2 linked regions of the Lepisosteus oculatus genome follow. The protein of the gene in region 1 binds, or shares a complex with, the protein of each later gene. Links are inferred from orthologs where the notes say so. Each region holds a gene or a part of one and is shown on either strand. Other genes may lie near its edges.

Region 1 (7,558 bases):
ATTAAAATAATACTGGACTTCCAAACACAGAACATTTGGTTGGTTAAGAGGAAAAAAAATACAAAGTGGGGGAATTATAAACTTGATAATAAATTACATAATCGCCAGGATCATTCTGGACAGTATGGCATGAAAGTACAGCCAAGAACACGAGACACTTCTACTCTACTCAACTCACTTCTCACTCTACCCACTTCTACTCAAAGGATTGTGGATGTATGGAAAGGGCTGCAAGCTGGTTTTGAGGGCAACATTCTGGCTTCTTTCAACAAATGGCTGGATGAGATCCTTGGATCACTTAACTACCAACTACCATAGGCTGTATGGACCAAATTGCCTTCTCATAAGATTGTAAACATTCTTATGTTCTTGTGGATGTAAAGAAGGCTCCTAGTACACAACACATGAATCCATTTCATATTTCACTCTTCAGGCACTTTTATAATCTTGTTCCGATGGAAATAGGAAACAAGTATCTAACAATAAATGCCACTGTAATACTGTAAACACCAGATCAAGTAACAATATCATTGCACCTCTTTGTGTTCATGTACTTAATTTAAGTTAATGCACAAGAAATATCAAGAAACAGGTGTTGGCTAACAGAAAAATACTTACATCATCTTAAAATCTAAATGGTTCAATAGGAGTCTTACTGCCATCAATGAAACTCACTTTAAATTATTTTTTCAACAACAGTGGACAGTCGAGATTTCAGAAGACAACGAAACAGTTACTGCATGATAAGAGAAATCCTTAGATTATAGTTTACTAGCTAGGTCTGCTTCGTGCAAATGACTTCATTGAAAAAACATTTAATCCAAAGAGATGTTCCACTGTTAATCTGAAAATTGATATTTCTGAAATCTCCCATTTCTTTACTTTACTGAATTGAACATATTTTGACAAGATGTCTTCCTTTTTGGGGAGGATTACATAGTGGAAAAGATGCAGTGAAGGATTTGGTGCCTTAAAATCATCACTGCTCAGCACAGTTTTCACAGAAGAATATAAATATCTCTGAATTAGGTTTGTCTTCTCTCCAATATGTGTGTCTTAAATCGATCTCTACTCCTTAAGAATGTGTTTCACAAAAAACAATCATACTGCACACTGCAAAGCCTTCTTTACGAAAATCTGGGAATTAGGGTCACTATTACTTATTCTACTGTATATAACAAATAACAATGCAAATTACAAGAATAAAATAAGATGAATCACATGAAAAGAATAAAACAGTATTAGCTCCTAGTTGTAACATGAAACATGTTTACCACAGATAATTACCTCAGTTCATAATGAGATCAGTTCTCTTTATACATTCTGAAATGAAAACCTAAGACTTTTTTCATATGGTTATTTCTCTGAGAAAATAAAATTATCTATTGAAAAAGGTAAGTTTTACCGAGACACTACCCATGGGCTTTAATATGGCTCTCTCACATAGTCTGCTTTCAAGTTACTGATAACACAGCTGTTCAAAAACATTTCCTTCCTCAGAGCTAGAGTACTGCAAATCTGTGTGCATCTAAAGAGGTTTCTTCAAATAAAGTCCCAATATTTCTGATTCGAGAGGGTAAGATTAAAAAATTGGTCATGGAGAATACTTAGAATGAAAATCCTATTTCTGCAGGAAAAGAGGGTAAAATTTGGTTAGATAACGTTTTACTTAAAAACTTGCTTTAGTATAGAAATACACTGGAAAATGTTGCCTTCGATCATCGGTTAAAATGCAGGCGAATGGCGAAAACAGATGAAAATTTCAGATTCATCTGTCTACACTAAAAGCACTATGTCATAGTAAATAAAAGAAAGATATGGAATATGAAAGTATTGCCCTTGAGTGTTTACCTTTCATCAGACAGCATCTTCTCTTCATTGTGATAGAAAAGTGAGACTAGAGGGACACTGAGCTCCCATTTCTCAAATATTTGTTTATGCTAAAACAGTACGAATAAATAAATTGGTATCATTACAAAACAAAATGTCTCCCTTTGCACTTTAATGTTTTAAATAACTGGATGGTTTAAATGGTCTAATTTTATTCAACACTGATTTTGCTCATTTTTAATGACAGAATGAATAAACACTTCACACATTTAAACAGCTTAACGGATATTGTACACTACACAAATCAATCTTTAAATGGGAATATTGAAAGGTAGGCTATATGGAATCTCTTAACTGAGGTGATGTAATACTAGTTTCCAAAAACTGTGTGTAGCAAACGTGTTCACATTTGATTAACAAGATACTGTTTTTAGATAATGGTAGTATAATATATATATATCCCAACTCAGTACTGTCGCTCTCGTATGCTTTTTTTCTGTCTAAAAAAGCATGTTTTTTTTCTTTATGCTTATTTATAATGGCGGAATGCCATTCCGAGAAAAATAAAAAAAAACATATCAGAATTGTTGATAAATGGGATTGTTTTGATTAAATTTAAATACATGATTTTCTTTGAAATCTTTTACATTTTATAATAATTTCATTGCATATATCTTAAATGTAGAAGGAGTGCCCTCCCTTTCAAAATTAATCAATTAATACTGGAATAAGTTTAACAAGTCCTCAGCTCTAAAATCCATACCATCATTCTGCTTGATACCGCCACGCTGCCAGCTACAAAATTATCCCAGACACTGCCATCAAATTACATTGTGTGCCCGCACATTCACACATGTATTTTTAGCAGTAGTCTGAGCTGTCACAACATATCAACTCAGATTAAGCACGCTTTCCAAAGAGGTAGGGCACGCAAAAACTATCGGGCACACACAGTACCTTCTACACACAGACTCTAGTTCATCCATCAGCTCCTACCTCCGATTCTTTCCTCTGGTTCTTGAATAGTTCTCTCACTTTCGGAAGGGGCTTCTGTTTGCCGCTGTTATTATTAGATCCCTCCATTTCGGCACCCTGCATCTGTCCCTGGCCCCTCTCTGTCCTCACAGCTGCTCACCTACTGCCTCCAGTTACTCGAATCTGTCACATTGGAGCTGGCTGGGGGATTCCGAGTTCAGGAAATCCGTCCCCCCTGGGCTGATTGGTCGGGCTGTCCCACTGTGGGCAGTGGCTTACGGCAGATGGGGCTGGAAGTGGTCGGCCGGCCTGTCAGCGATAAAATACAAGGTGAGGGAGCTGCGTTTGCTTGGAGGGCGGCTATGGGATTCCTCAGCACGCATACCTCGGACAGGCAGCAGTTGTGAGTTGGGATGGATGTCAGTCACAATCTGCACGGTGAAGTGAGAGAACTTGAGCGGCGTTGTGTCAAAATGGTATATTTGCATGGAAGACGAAATATTTTAATTACAAATAGGAAGACCTCATTCGACAGTCCATTACTACACATTTTAAGATGTCTTCAGCACTATAAGCTCTTAGGCAGTTTGATACAAGACCTTTTAAAGACGTGAAGTTTCATTTTCCTAAGCAGGGCTAAGTGTCAAATCCGACCAACGTAAACTGTCCAAGAAGCGAAGTACGTAAACTGTCCGAAGTTGCTGCCTTTTGCGCTTTAAACGAGACACGAAGTCGCCTGTGGAGAACACAAAATGCAATTTATTGAGGTACAGACACGTATTTTCAGTAAATTTGATTCCGATAGTGAAAAGGCTAAATCTACGGAAGCATGGCTATGATAATATGTACAGTATTTCAGTGCATATTAAAAAGTACTTTCTGTACTTCAGTGGAAAAAAAATTGGTCTCCTATCAATAAGATAAGAAACTTGTTTTTTCATGACTTGCGTGAGATTTCTGTCATCTTTCATTACGCACGTCTATGAGTTAGGTCTTAACTGATCACCCGATCATAAAAACAAGGACCAAAAACATACAAGGTCACTGGAACTGTTACACTGCTGTTGTTATAAAGGTTTGTTCCAATACAACCTGATTATAGATTATATGGATAATTGAGTTTACTGATATCCCACAGAAATCTAAATATGCATATCCAATAATTATGACAATGAGACACTTAGAGATTAGAGAAGCGTGAGGGAAAACTAATGCTAATCCTGTATCCACTTCACACAATTTCATGTAAGTGGGTTTAAATATTTTGATTAACCTTACTTGTTCTAATGCTGTATCACTGGTGTTCTAACTATGTCTATAATGGCATTGATAATTACAAAGAGCCGATATGCATAACTGTAGCATTCAAGTACACTTCTTGCAGAGATAGATAATGAGCATGGTCCTCTCTTGTTTATTGATGTACATCAGCAGAGCTCCATTAGCACTCATGCTAATGTTCTTAAACCTATATAGAGCACTGGATTAAATCCCACTGTGTCAACAGGATTTTAGTGCTGATCTTACCAGTCAGTTTCTGATGGTCTCCCTTGATTCTGATTGCCTTTTTGTGCTGCAGCTACACAGTAGTCCCTCAGGGATTTGAAGTTACTCTCACTTTGTCTGCACTATTAATGCCAGATCTGTTTTTTATGTTATTGATTTTCAGTACCTTTGTTGCATATTGGCCTACAGTAGGCACTGTAAGAAAACAGTTTCTCACAGCTTTTGGTTTTCTTCATCTAGTTGTTTTGTGATTCTCTGCCCCATTATTGTATATGGTTTGTGCAAACTCTTTTAACGTAAAAGTATATGACATGTTCCTCTCTATAGTCTTATAGGAGTGGAATACTAAGAAACTCCCAGTCAAACAGAAAATTCAGTTGAATGCTGACATAACCAGTGGATAAAGAGTCCCCCTACATCCTCTCTATTTGAACGTGTCTATAATTGCTTCTGTATTTACCAGACTAGGTTCAATTATGATCACTTACCTGTACTGTATATGCATAATAATAATAGTACAATGCTCTGTGAGATATCCTTAGATTGTCACAAAAAAAAACCATTTTGTTCTTTTAATGTGAAAACTGACAGGATGAATTGACAGGTAAGGTGCTCTTTTCAATATATAAACACACTTAGAAAGGTTCCAAACAAAATAAGGGCATTTAACCTGTCTTGTTCATTTGGTTGCAAGTATTTCATTGATTCACAGAATTAAACACACATACGAGCCTTTCAATGATCAAAACATTCCCATTGAGTTTTTGTGTAGAATCTCACCTCAATCTGTTAAATCAGTCTTTAAGAAGTGGAAGGTGCCTGAACCCTGCCTAGGTCACAACACAAGATCAAACTCCAAAATGGCTCTCCAGACTGAACGGCTGGACAAAGAGGAAACTTTCTAGGATCACCACATTGAGGCCAAAAGCAACTTCAAAAGAGCTACAGAGTTCAGTGGCTGAGATGGGAGAAAATATCCATGGGTCTACAATATTCAAGTCACTCCACAAAGGGGTGTGTAACTAAACAAATCCCACATGGATTTTGCAACAAAGCACCTCAGTGACATTGCAAACATGTGGGAAAAGGTTGCATTTCATAACAAAATTGGAATATTCTGATCTAAATGTAAAGCATTATTTCTGGTGCAAACTCAGCACAGTGCATCACTCAGGCAACACCACCCCTGTTATCAAGCATTATGTTATAACAGTAGTTCTCATCAGGAAGGATGGGGAACCTTGTCAAGTCTGAATGAACATAGATATGTCATGCCCACGCCCGGGTAAGTGCTGTTTCTAGCTCCCATAACTCCAAACTGGTAGTCAATCGCTGAATCAATCTTCCAATCAACCCGTTCCTATGGCAACATGGTTGGGAAGGTTGACCATACCACTGGTACATAATTAACAGCACTTTCCTTGTTTCCAGCTGGGCATTTATTCCTGCTTCAGTGGCAGTGCAGTGTTCAGTCTTTGCATTAGCTCCGTGACCCGGTGCTTGTGTCTCCTGTGCTTGCATTATTTTCATGTGTTTGAAATTTTCCCCTGAATTTAGTTTTTACTGATGTTTACTGTAACCTATTTTAACCCTTAGAAGTATTCAGTTTGAGCATGCAGGTTTTGAATGAATTAAGTTTAAAATACTTTTATGCAGAATTTTGTAATTTCACAAAATGGGACACCGTAGGAAGTTATTTGAATAACTTGCCAGGGACTGTATATCCCTATATACTTCTATCTATTTCCTCTCCTGCCAGTCAATTGGTATATTTTGGAATCTTTTGGATTAGATTCCTCAGATATAAAGCACCATTACATGTTTGTGTTTTGAAAGTGATTAAGAGTTGCCACAGGTCTTGCTGAATATTAGATTTTTCGGAGGAAGAAATTAAATAATTAAAACGTTGTGAATTCCTCTGTGTACATTAAATTGGAACAAAAGCCATGTCCTGTCAAACACATGCTGTGGGACTCGGTGAAAATCCATTCTGCAGTGACAAGTGAAAGGTACTCCTCTGCCATATTCATTTAGGATTATCCTCTGAATGAATTATTGATTAGTATGGCTAGGGGTAGTTAAAGTAGATTGCTTCACGCATCCCATATTTTTAAAAGCACTTCAAATGATAACACGATTAAAGCCTGTATTTCACAAGGAGTCTGAAAGTTAAGAAGGTTGCTTCATTCTAATATGAACCTGTGGCCCCATAATTTTAAGAAAACAAAGGAAAAAGAAAATTAAAATGAAAAATATCCTGGTTTTTGCCTTTTTATTGAGAAAAATGTCTGTTCATTATCTTCACACTCCATTTAAACCCTCGTGTAAGAAACCACTCATTCCCAAACACCAGCAGACTCTTTCCCTCCAAGACAATGGTAACATAACACAGACTTTTTTTTAAACAAAATTGATTTGCTTTAAAACATATTTCACCAGAAGGGAGGGTTGGTTTTGTAAAGACAGCAGCACTGAGAAGACCATGACTATTAAGAGGAAACTAAGAGGAAAATGTTAATATTAAAGAACCTTTTTTTTCAATCTGATAGACACATCTGGTTCAATGCATTTACATATTCTCATTGCTGTACTGGATTGTCACGGCAAGGATGAAGTGGAAAAGCCAGGATTTAAGACAGTTTCTTATTAAAAACTAAACCTGAAAGTGAATAAAATGAGAGGGTCAAAATTCCATTGTTGCGAGAAGACTAGTTAACCTTCAGATTATTTTTTGCTTTTGAAAAACTAAGCTGTCATTCAAGCATACCGAGTGTCTCATTAGGATGGTTTAACTGCATTGCATTAGCAGACTGGACATAAACTCCTGGCTGGATCAAGAGAGTCACAGAAAAACAAGTCTGCTTGGGTTATAGGAAGACAAAGACTCCGAAACAAGCTAATATAAAACAGCATGCAATATTTCAATGGCATTTGTGCAGCGCTAAAAAAAACTGTCACTCACCTTTAAGCAGATAACCATGAATGGAAACAGAGAAACACCAGGCAAATACTTACAATAAAATGGAATTGTTATACCCATTGTTGTGAGAGAGAGGAGGGTTTGTGACAGTAATGAATGCTCCTATAAAAGAAATATAGTCCTGTGGGATGCAAACGAGTTGTTAGGGTTACTTAAGGTACAGCAAATAAACAGATAAAAAAGAAAGATGTTTCTAACATCTGGAGGTTCAGGATAAAAAGCAGACAGCAACAGGACTTGCTTATTGACCAATATTGGAACTCCTGT
Region 2 (7,894 bases), on another chromosome or scaffold:
TGCCACTGTGAAGCCTAAAACTACCTAAAGATATATAATACATTTCCTCTGTTAAACAGAACCTTACTGAATCACACTCACATCTGGTTTTCATCAAACTGAATGCCCAATCTCTTTCTGGTGACCAGGCCTTGGTCACCCTACCAAGTACTGCTGTTTGTTCCTGCTCTGTTTTGTGCCTGGTGTTGTCCCAAACACACAGCATGCTTACACCGGTACTGCCAGTGAGGTACTGGCCATCTGCTGTGTCAGAAAGTTACTCATCTAAGGGACACAGCCCGAGGAGCTACCGATCCCACAGGGGGATGAGCAGACCGTTACTTCGGTGAATCTAGCCCTGGGTTCACCACAGGCTGGGACCTGCAGTGATTTCGCCTTTCTCTGAACGTTCAAAGTCAAATTACTACCGATCCAAAGAGCCACTTGTCCACCAGTTCCAAAGCCAGATCCTATGGCTGAATATGAAACAATCTAGTATGTAGGTTAACTAGACATTTGTTTTTTTACAAAAAAAAAAGATTTTAAAAAAGCAAGCATACAGCTCCTAGGATTAGACTGTAACTTTATATTTTCCAGTGCTACCATACTAGATGTCATGGTACGATTTTCTATCTGGTTATCTAAAAAAAAAGGCAAAAAGCTTTAGATTCTCATCTTCAACTGACACAGCACCACCATGCTCTATAATCTTGGGGACAGTCCTTCTTAGCTTACATGGATAAATTTAGCTCTTTAATCACGGAAGAAAGTTAAGATTTAATTAGTTACGGTACTTTGAATCGGGAATGTCTTAATTCTGAGAGAACTAAAAATATTTAAATTAAACTAAATTCCTGTTGGGCTGGTGGGCAAATATCACCAGTCAAAGTAACGCTGCAGCCATCACACTACAATATCATTATCACCTCCAAACAGCACACCTCACTGATTATTTCACTCACAGCTGGTCCTCACTCCCCACTGTCCTTCCTCACTGCCGATAACAACCCGGAGTGACCCAAACGGGTCAGTGAAGTCACATGAGCAAACTAATTCGTCACATGCTCAAGCTATCATACTGGTAGTTTTTGCTCAATAAATTATGTTATCTTAAAACACAGACACAAAAACACCTGAACACTGAAAAGAGGTAGCTTTAGAGGTAGAAAGTGCTATATCCCTGATAAAACAAACTTGTATCCAGAGTTGCTTGGCATTACTTAGTCTTGGTTAAACCCTGGTAAATCATTCAACATTTATGTTTTGGTACCTAATATTGTATTACTACTAATAGTTGGTTTGATGCAAAATGAATTTATTAAAAATCAGAATATTATAATACCTAAATACTTTAAAACTGATTTAAAACCTTAATATTGTAACGCAACGGGGGCTCAGTGTAACGCTTACGGCCGACAAGCAGTGTGTGTAAGAGCCGGCGTACCAGAGCGGGTGACGTCACCGCCCTTCCCTGTGATAGCAGGACCACAGCTACTGGGCTGTGGAGAGATCTCTCTTTAGCTCACGGGGCTAGGTCGCTGCAGAGAGACGCGGAAGTCCCGGGTTCGAGCCACCTATACTTTGGGCCGACCAGATGCGGCAAGGGCGCCCGCCTGAGCCCCCGTTGCGTTACAATATTATGAACATGAATGTATTGTTGTTGAGGACCATATGTTGAGAAAAACCTTGAAAATAAGAAATCTGGACTATTCAGGCCTCTGTAGCCTGAAGTTGGGCCAGTGTTCATATTGTTAATGCCAGGCCCCATTTTTTTATGTCAGTCTGGAATTGAAGACGAATTGAGGTCACTGGTTCTAATGTCTCTGAAGAGATGGCTGACCTGCTGCACAGCTATTCACTCCCAGCCCTTGCCTGTACCTGCTCACCTGGAGCCTGAGCAACTGGGACAGTGGGATCGACTGCTCAGCGCCTTGTCACCACGCAGTGTTACCGATGGGCCGACTGGTCCTTTGAGCACTGCCAGGCTGCATGGTGTCAATACACACACATGCAAGTCCACAGGGAAACGGTGACTGGCCATGGGAATCTACATGTCAGGACACAACTAGCAGACAATTGCATTCAGAGCTGGCACACTGGCTTCTGAGACCATCTGCATGAGGCCCTGGCCAGTGCTCTCAGTAACACGACTGCACACAGCAAACAAGTACACTGGAGGGCAGTGCTGGAAACAAGCCCTTCGAGATACTTATTTTTAAGGATTAGGCTTCAGTCATTTTACAAACTTTTTAAAAAAGACCACCACTTGACAAAACGCACTCAACCAACTCCAAAGTCTTTTGGAGCTTAAGCTTAAAACCATTAAACTCAGTGACTTTTCTGTAAAATCCAGGTTAACTTCGTGAAGTGTTTTTTCACGAGAGTTCAGACGGGAGCACCGCCTGATCCTCCCACACTACACCGCAGCCCCCGGCTCGGACACGTCACCCCGCTCCGTTTTCGGGGTGCCAGCTGACCCCGAGGTCACGCACCCGTGCACAGCTGGAGGGAACAGTGTCACGACACCGGAGCGGGGACTGCAGCGCCCTGATTTTGCAAGCCCTTTCATGTGGCGATTGGTGACGATGTGTTGAGCAGGCTTGCTGACCGTGTGCCGTCGGACGACACACAACAATGTACAGACCACCGCCGCCCGAAATCGCACCGCCGCGGCTGCTGCTCTGATTGACCGACCTACACGGAGCGACAGCGAGCCGGCCGTGCGCTTCTCCCCCAAAGAAACGGGTTTTCAAGTTCCCATGCGATTACCCTCAGCTCGTCTCTCTCGGCTTCCCAGCGGTATTTCTCGGCCTGAAAGCGACCCCATTCGTGCTGGATGAAGTGCAGGATCCCGGGCAGAGAGAGGCCCGCTTCTGCCTCCTGCATGTCCTTTGGCTGGGAAGAGGCAGCCATCGCCCCCGCGGCGGACGGGGAGGGAGACGCCGCCGCTTTGGGCCCGTTGGGGTTCCGTCCAGCGCCGCTCCCGCCTGGGCTCGGGTTCGTTGCGCCCGCTCCTCCACAGGACCTGTCCGCCTCCATGATGGAGAACTAGGAGTCGCCAGGATAAACAGGGAGACGATAATATAATCCCCCCCTCCCTCTCCCTCCTCTTTTCAGATCACTACCGCCAGCTACTCTACCACACGCACACACAAGCCTCGCCTGCCAAATAGTGATCTCCGTCGACTTGCATCGTTTTCCTGCGGCGAGTGCTTGGCAGGGCGGTACCTTCCTGCCAAATTGTGAGCCGAGCTGTTTCCTGCAGTCATTTCCTAACTAAAGCCGCTGGCTCCCGTAGGAATAACAATTCGGGGATTGCGTTTTTGGAAAAAAGGAAAAAAATCTTCTCTGTGGGCCCCGCTTCTTTACGTATGTGCATTTTCCGTTTTATATTGTTACTGTAAAAATGTCTATACGGCGTTTTTTTCCCTCGCAGTAAAACCCTTGCTTCGTGGATTACTAAGCAATTGCTATAAATACAAGCATTACTAGACTAGCATTGCTCAGCAATCTCAACCCATTTCATCGCATGGTAATAGGGGCGTCGTAGTTCCCATAAAGCAGATAACCCGTTTCATAAAAAAAAAAGAAATAGTGATAATATCGTGTCATTGTGTTCTGTATTTTTACGGTTAACACAATGTAATGATACATAGTCTGTACAATAGACTCCCGAGTGCGCTTTACTCGTGCTGTCCCTAATTACTATATTGGCGTGTTTATTTTTTTACTTTTTAAAGAAAAATGCGCCAACCAGTTAAACGCACAGCACAAACTTCAAATGGTCACATCGGTATTTTAATAGAGGGAGTCAATGTTTGTGATTCATTCAACAGGAAAATGACAAATGTATATTGCGTGTTTCTATGTTCGCAAGACGTTATGGAAAACAAAACTGGACGTTGTGATTGAGTCATAGTTTGGCGTGCAATCGCTGCCCCCTGCGGAATAGCGCCCCCTTGTGGGTCTCAGGCCAAGTGGCAGAAGTTCATAATCGATTCCGCAGGTTTATGCAGGGGGAGGTTTCCATGGGAACGGAAGATCTCAGCAGCACACTTTGATATGTCTCCAGTTACCAAGGAAACGTGGAGATTCAAGAATACTGCTGCCTCAGTCCATGTTTCCAAGAAAATGTTGATCTAGGTGTACAACTGCCAAAGTAGATACAGAATCCTGGTCAGTATGAACTTAAAATTTTATTTCCCTATATAAGCTCCTATAAATTACTAATTGATGATTTAGAGAAATTCAAGGTGTTAAATTTACATTGTAATACACACATTAATTGGTACTCGTTTAAAATGGTTTCTTTTCATCTCTCCAGTATAAATTTCCATGCACTTTACTTGCAGCACTTCATTATCACACATTCAGCCTTTTGTGTATTTCTAATTTGCAAAAGAGAAACACATAGGTATGGGACCTGACCACAGCATTGTTTTTGACAAAACCTACATGTTTTATAAAATATATGTGTTTCTACTTTAACTGTGCTGTTTAAATCTGTGTGAGCTCTCAGTGGAATTCTGGTGACCTAATACACGCCACGCCACGCTGCTCCTGGGTCTTTTCCTAGCTGTGCTTTTCCATGAATAACAGATTGGACCCTGCTGATAGTAGTGGTATAGATGCCCACATCACAGTTTCTTCATTCCATCCACTCCACTCGCCTGCCTGTTCTACTGCTAGCACAGCCACATGGTCTCATCATGTGGTTCATCCAGAAAGATCCTTCAAATACAGGACAGACCCCACCTGGGTGATGCATGGCCAGCACACCCACTACAGGCTCATAAGGTGAAGAAATGAGAATGATTTTTGCCTGTTAAATTCATAGGGGACTTTAGGGAGACTAGACTGCACAAACAAACCCAGAGTGCAAGTCTATACACTCTCGTTCTTATGAAGACTGACATGGGGTGGTTAATAAGCAAGTATTAAGGACTTCAAATTCACATCTCATCTGATAAAGTGCACATCCTACAATACGGAGTCCTGGTCACCCACTGGGGTGCTGGTTTGGAAATTTGGAACCAGCGGGAGGAGTGCCTCAAAATCTGTTTTTTTCTTAGCGATGTCCTATTTCAATATAGGTCTGGTGTCATGGGATCATGCTACAGGGTGGTAATGCTGATGTAAAAAATCAGAACAATTTAGTCAATTGTATTTATCTAAGAGGCACATTGCTCATACTACTAATTCACAGGCATAAACACATATAACTAAGTGTTATACTGCAGGTAAGGGCAGAGGCAGAAAGGTTTTAAAATCAAAATACACTGATCTGTCTGAAAACTTTACAAAGCTGTTTTCAGTTTTTCAGACCATAAACACAACCTCTTTTTAATTATTAAATATATTTGTTTTATATTCTTTGGCATTTTGACAGTTAGGTTTTTACTTAAATTTAAAATCACATCTGTAGGAGAATGAGAAATTAGAATTAGACAATACTGGTTCATAAGCATGTGAAAACCCATGAATACCTATTTAGAGGAACAAACAACAGAAGGAGAAATGGCCACACTCTATAGCTTTTATCACATGTCATTTCTGTGCTTTCAGGTATTCCCGGAGGAAGCCACTAGCACTTTGTGGACAAATGAAGTCTTCCCTTTTGAAACGAAGCACAGTCCTTTGGCGTTCTGATTCAAGCTACCTATAGGCAGACCTGGGAAATGAAGCCCTTCACACCAACACTGGTGACCTGCAATCAGACTCACACATGAAAGACAGAAAGTATTGGAAAGTGTGAAAAATATGGGCTGCTAAAAATTAATAAAGATCAGTCATTGCAGTGGGATAGTCTTGGTGTGGAAGTGGATTATTTTGTGAAGAAGATGTACTTGAAGCAGTGATGCTTAAAGCGGTTGAGAGCTACACACAGGAGACGTGAGTGATGTAAAGAACTCAGCTTGACAGTTAAGCCTTCGAGCAGGAAGGATGAGAGTGAGCTTCTGCCAGGGCCTCCTAACTGGGGCCATAGCTCTGAACCTGCTGATCCTCTACTATGTGTCCCGGGCCCAGCAGCAGATGATGGAGAAGCGCAGGGAGCCGGGGAAGGGTTTGCCAAAAAAGGCACCCCTGCCCGCAGCTGGGATGAGTATTGGGATGGGCATGGGTATCAGTGGCAATAGCAGGAGCCCTGGTGTCACAGTTCTGTTGCGTGAGTTTGAAGACTTTGAGAACTATGTGCAGGAGGTGGCACATTCTTTCTTGCGACATCGCCCTGAGCTAACGTTCTTGGTGGTGGCGGACACTCTCCCTTACCCACCCCTGCAGCTGCCGGAGGGGGTGCGTCTTGTGGTCCTGAAGCCTGCTCCAGACCAGCCCCCGCAAGTGTCTCGGCCAGAGTTCTTTATTCAAACGGAGTACGTCCTTTTTGTGCCAGACGGCGTGGAGCTGGACCTGGGGAGACAGTTGGATCGGTTGGTTAGAGAGCTGGAAGGGGAGGGCGGGGGGCCAGTACGACTGGTGGCGGCCCCAGTCCTGTCCCGGTCGGCAGTGCAGTGCCTCCATTTACGAGTGAGCCTGAGGGAGTGGACAGCCACCTACACCCCAGCAGCGTCAGGGAGCAGTGGCAGTGTGTGCACAGCCCTGCGTGGGGATGCTGTAGTCCTGACCCGGACAGAAGACCTCTTCAATCTTTCCAGCCCTCTTGCCCGGCCGCTCATGACCTCTCTGTTCATCCAGACTTCCTTGCGGGGATGGAAGGTCAAGCTTCTGGAGGGGCCCTCTTTCGGCTCGAACCGCAGGCCTCTCTTCGGCTCAGCTCACAATCAGTGGAAGGCTGACAGCCGCCTGAAGGAGTACACGGCACGGCTGCTACGCGAATTCGGGATAAAGCGGGTTATTAATCCAGATGGAAAGGAGCAATGGTTTGGTTGCAACAAGGAGATGCCCCGATGCTTTGGGACAATCCATGATGACACCCCCGAATATCTCTACTTGGAGCGCTGGACACCCCCCTGCTGTCTGCGTGCCCTACGGGAGACAGCTAAGTATGTCATCAACATCTTGGAGAGCTCAGGAGTCCGTTATTGGCTGGAAGGGGGGACTCTCCTGGGTGCTGCCCGCCACCAAGATATTATTCCCTGGGACTTTGACGTAGACCTGGGCATTTACCTGGAGGATGTACCCAACTGCGACTACCTGAAGAACTTGGACTCCGGCTCCCTTGTGGACGCCAATGGCTATGTGTGGGAAAGGGCAGTAGAGGGGGATTTTTACCGGGTTCAGTTCAGCGAGGCCAACCACCTGCATGTGGACCTTTGGCCTTTCTATCCCCGCAACGGTGTGATGACCAAGGACACCTGGATGGACCACAAGCAGGATGTGGAATTCCCTGAGCATTTCCTGCATCCCCTGGTTCCTGTCCAGTTTGCCGGAATAACCGCCTATGCACCCAACAACTACCGTAGCTTCTTGGAACTCAAGTTTGGGGAAGGGGTGATAGAAAACCCCCAGTACCCCAACCCTGCTAAAAAACGACTGGACAGAAGTAGACTCTGAGTACTTTGAGAAGCAGGACTGTGGTGGTCTTAAAGAGTACTGCAAGGTGACTGATATTACTTTCATCAAATGACTTGAAAAGATTCTCAGGAGGCTGAGAAATATATAACTGTTAACACTCCTTTCTTATAAGGTTCTCTCAGATTTTTCAGATTGAAATAAGATTCTTACAGTGCTGAACTGGGTTATTACCTTTTTTCAAATTCAGAATTAGAAAGAACATGCTGGCCAGCCATGGAATATCTGTAATAACTCCCATGGATGAAGTTCATTCTTCATGACATTTTATTGACTGCATATTTACATTTGTAAAATAAAAAAACATTAAATAAACCAGTAATCGCATTAGCTGTCAGACAAAGTAGAATGATTAATTTTACACAAAACTATTCCCAAATCATTG

Evidence for each region. The genes of interacting proteins can lie anywhere in the genome.
Region 2: strip2 (region 1) and strn4 share a complex: the UniProt entries of both Homo sapiens proteins name them as parts of the core of STRIPAK complex. The link is inferred for Lepisosteus oculatus from reciprocal best matches to the Homo sapiens genes STRIP2 and STRN4.

What each region holds. Positions count from the first base shown.
Region 1 is NC_090702.1:33,447,988-33,455,545, reverse strand, and holds the start of strip2 (striatin-interacting protein 1 homolog), read right to left. Parts: upstream 3,007-7,558; 5' UTR 2,929-3,006; coding exon 2,827-2,928; intron 1-2,826. UniProt on the Homo sapiens protein: Plays a role in the regulation of cell morphology and cytoskeletal organization. Required in the control of cell shape. Calmodulin-binding scaffolding protein which is the center of the striatin-interacting phosphatase and kinase (STRIPAK) complexes.
Region 2 is NC_090698.1:474,727-482,620, reverse strand, and holds the start of strn4 (striatin-4), read right to left. Parts: upstream 3,019-7,894; coding exon 2,749-3,018; intron 1-2,748. Other genes in the region: ribitol 5-phosphate transferase FKRP, read left to right, coding at 5,923-7,491. UniProt on the Homo sapiens protein: Calmodulin-binding scaffolding protein which is the center of the striatin-interacting phosphatase and kinase (STRIPAK) complexes.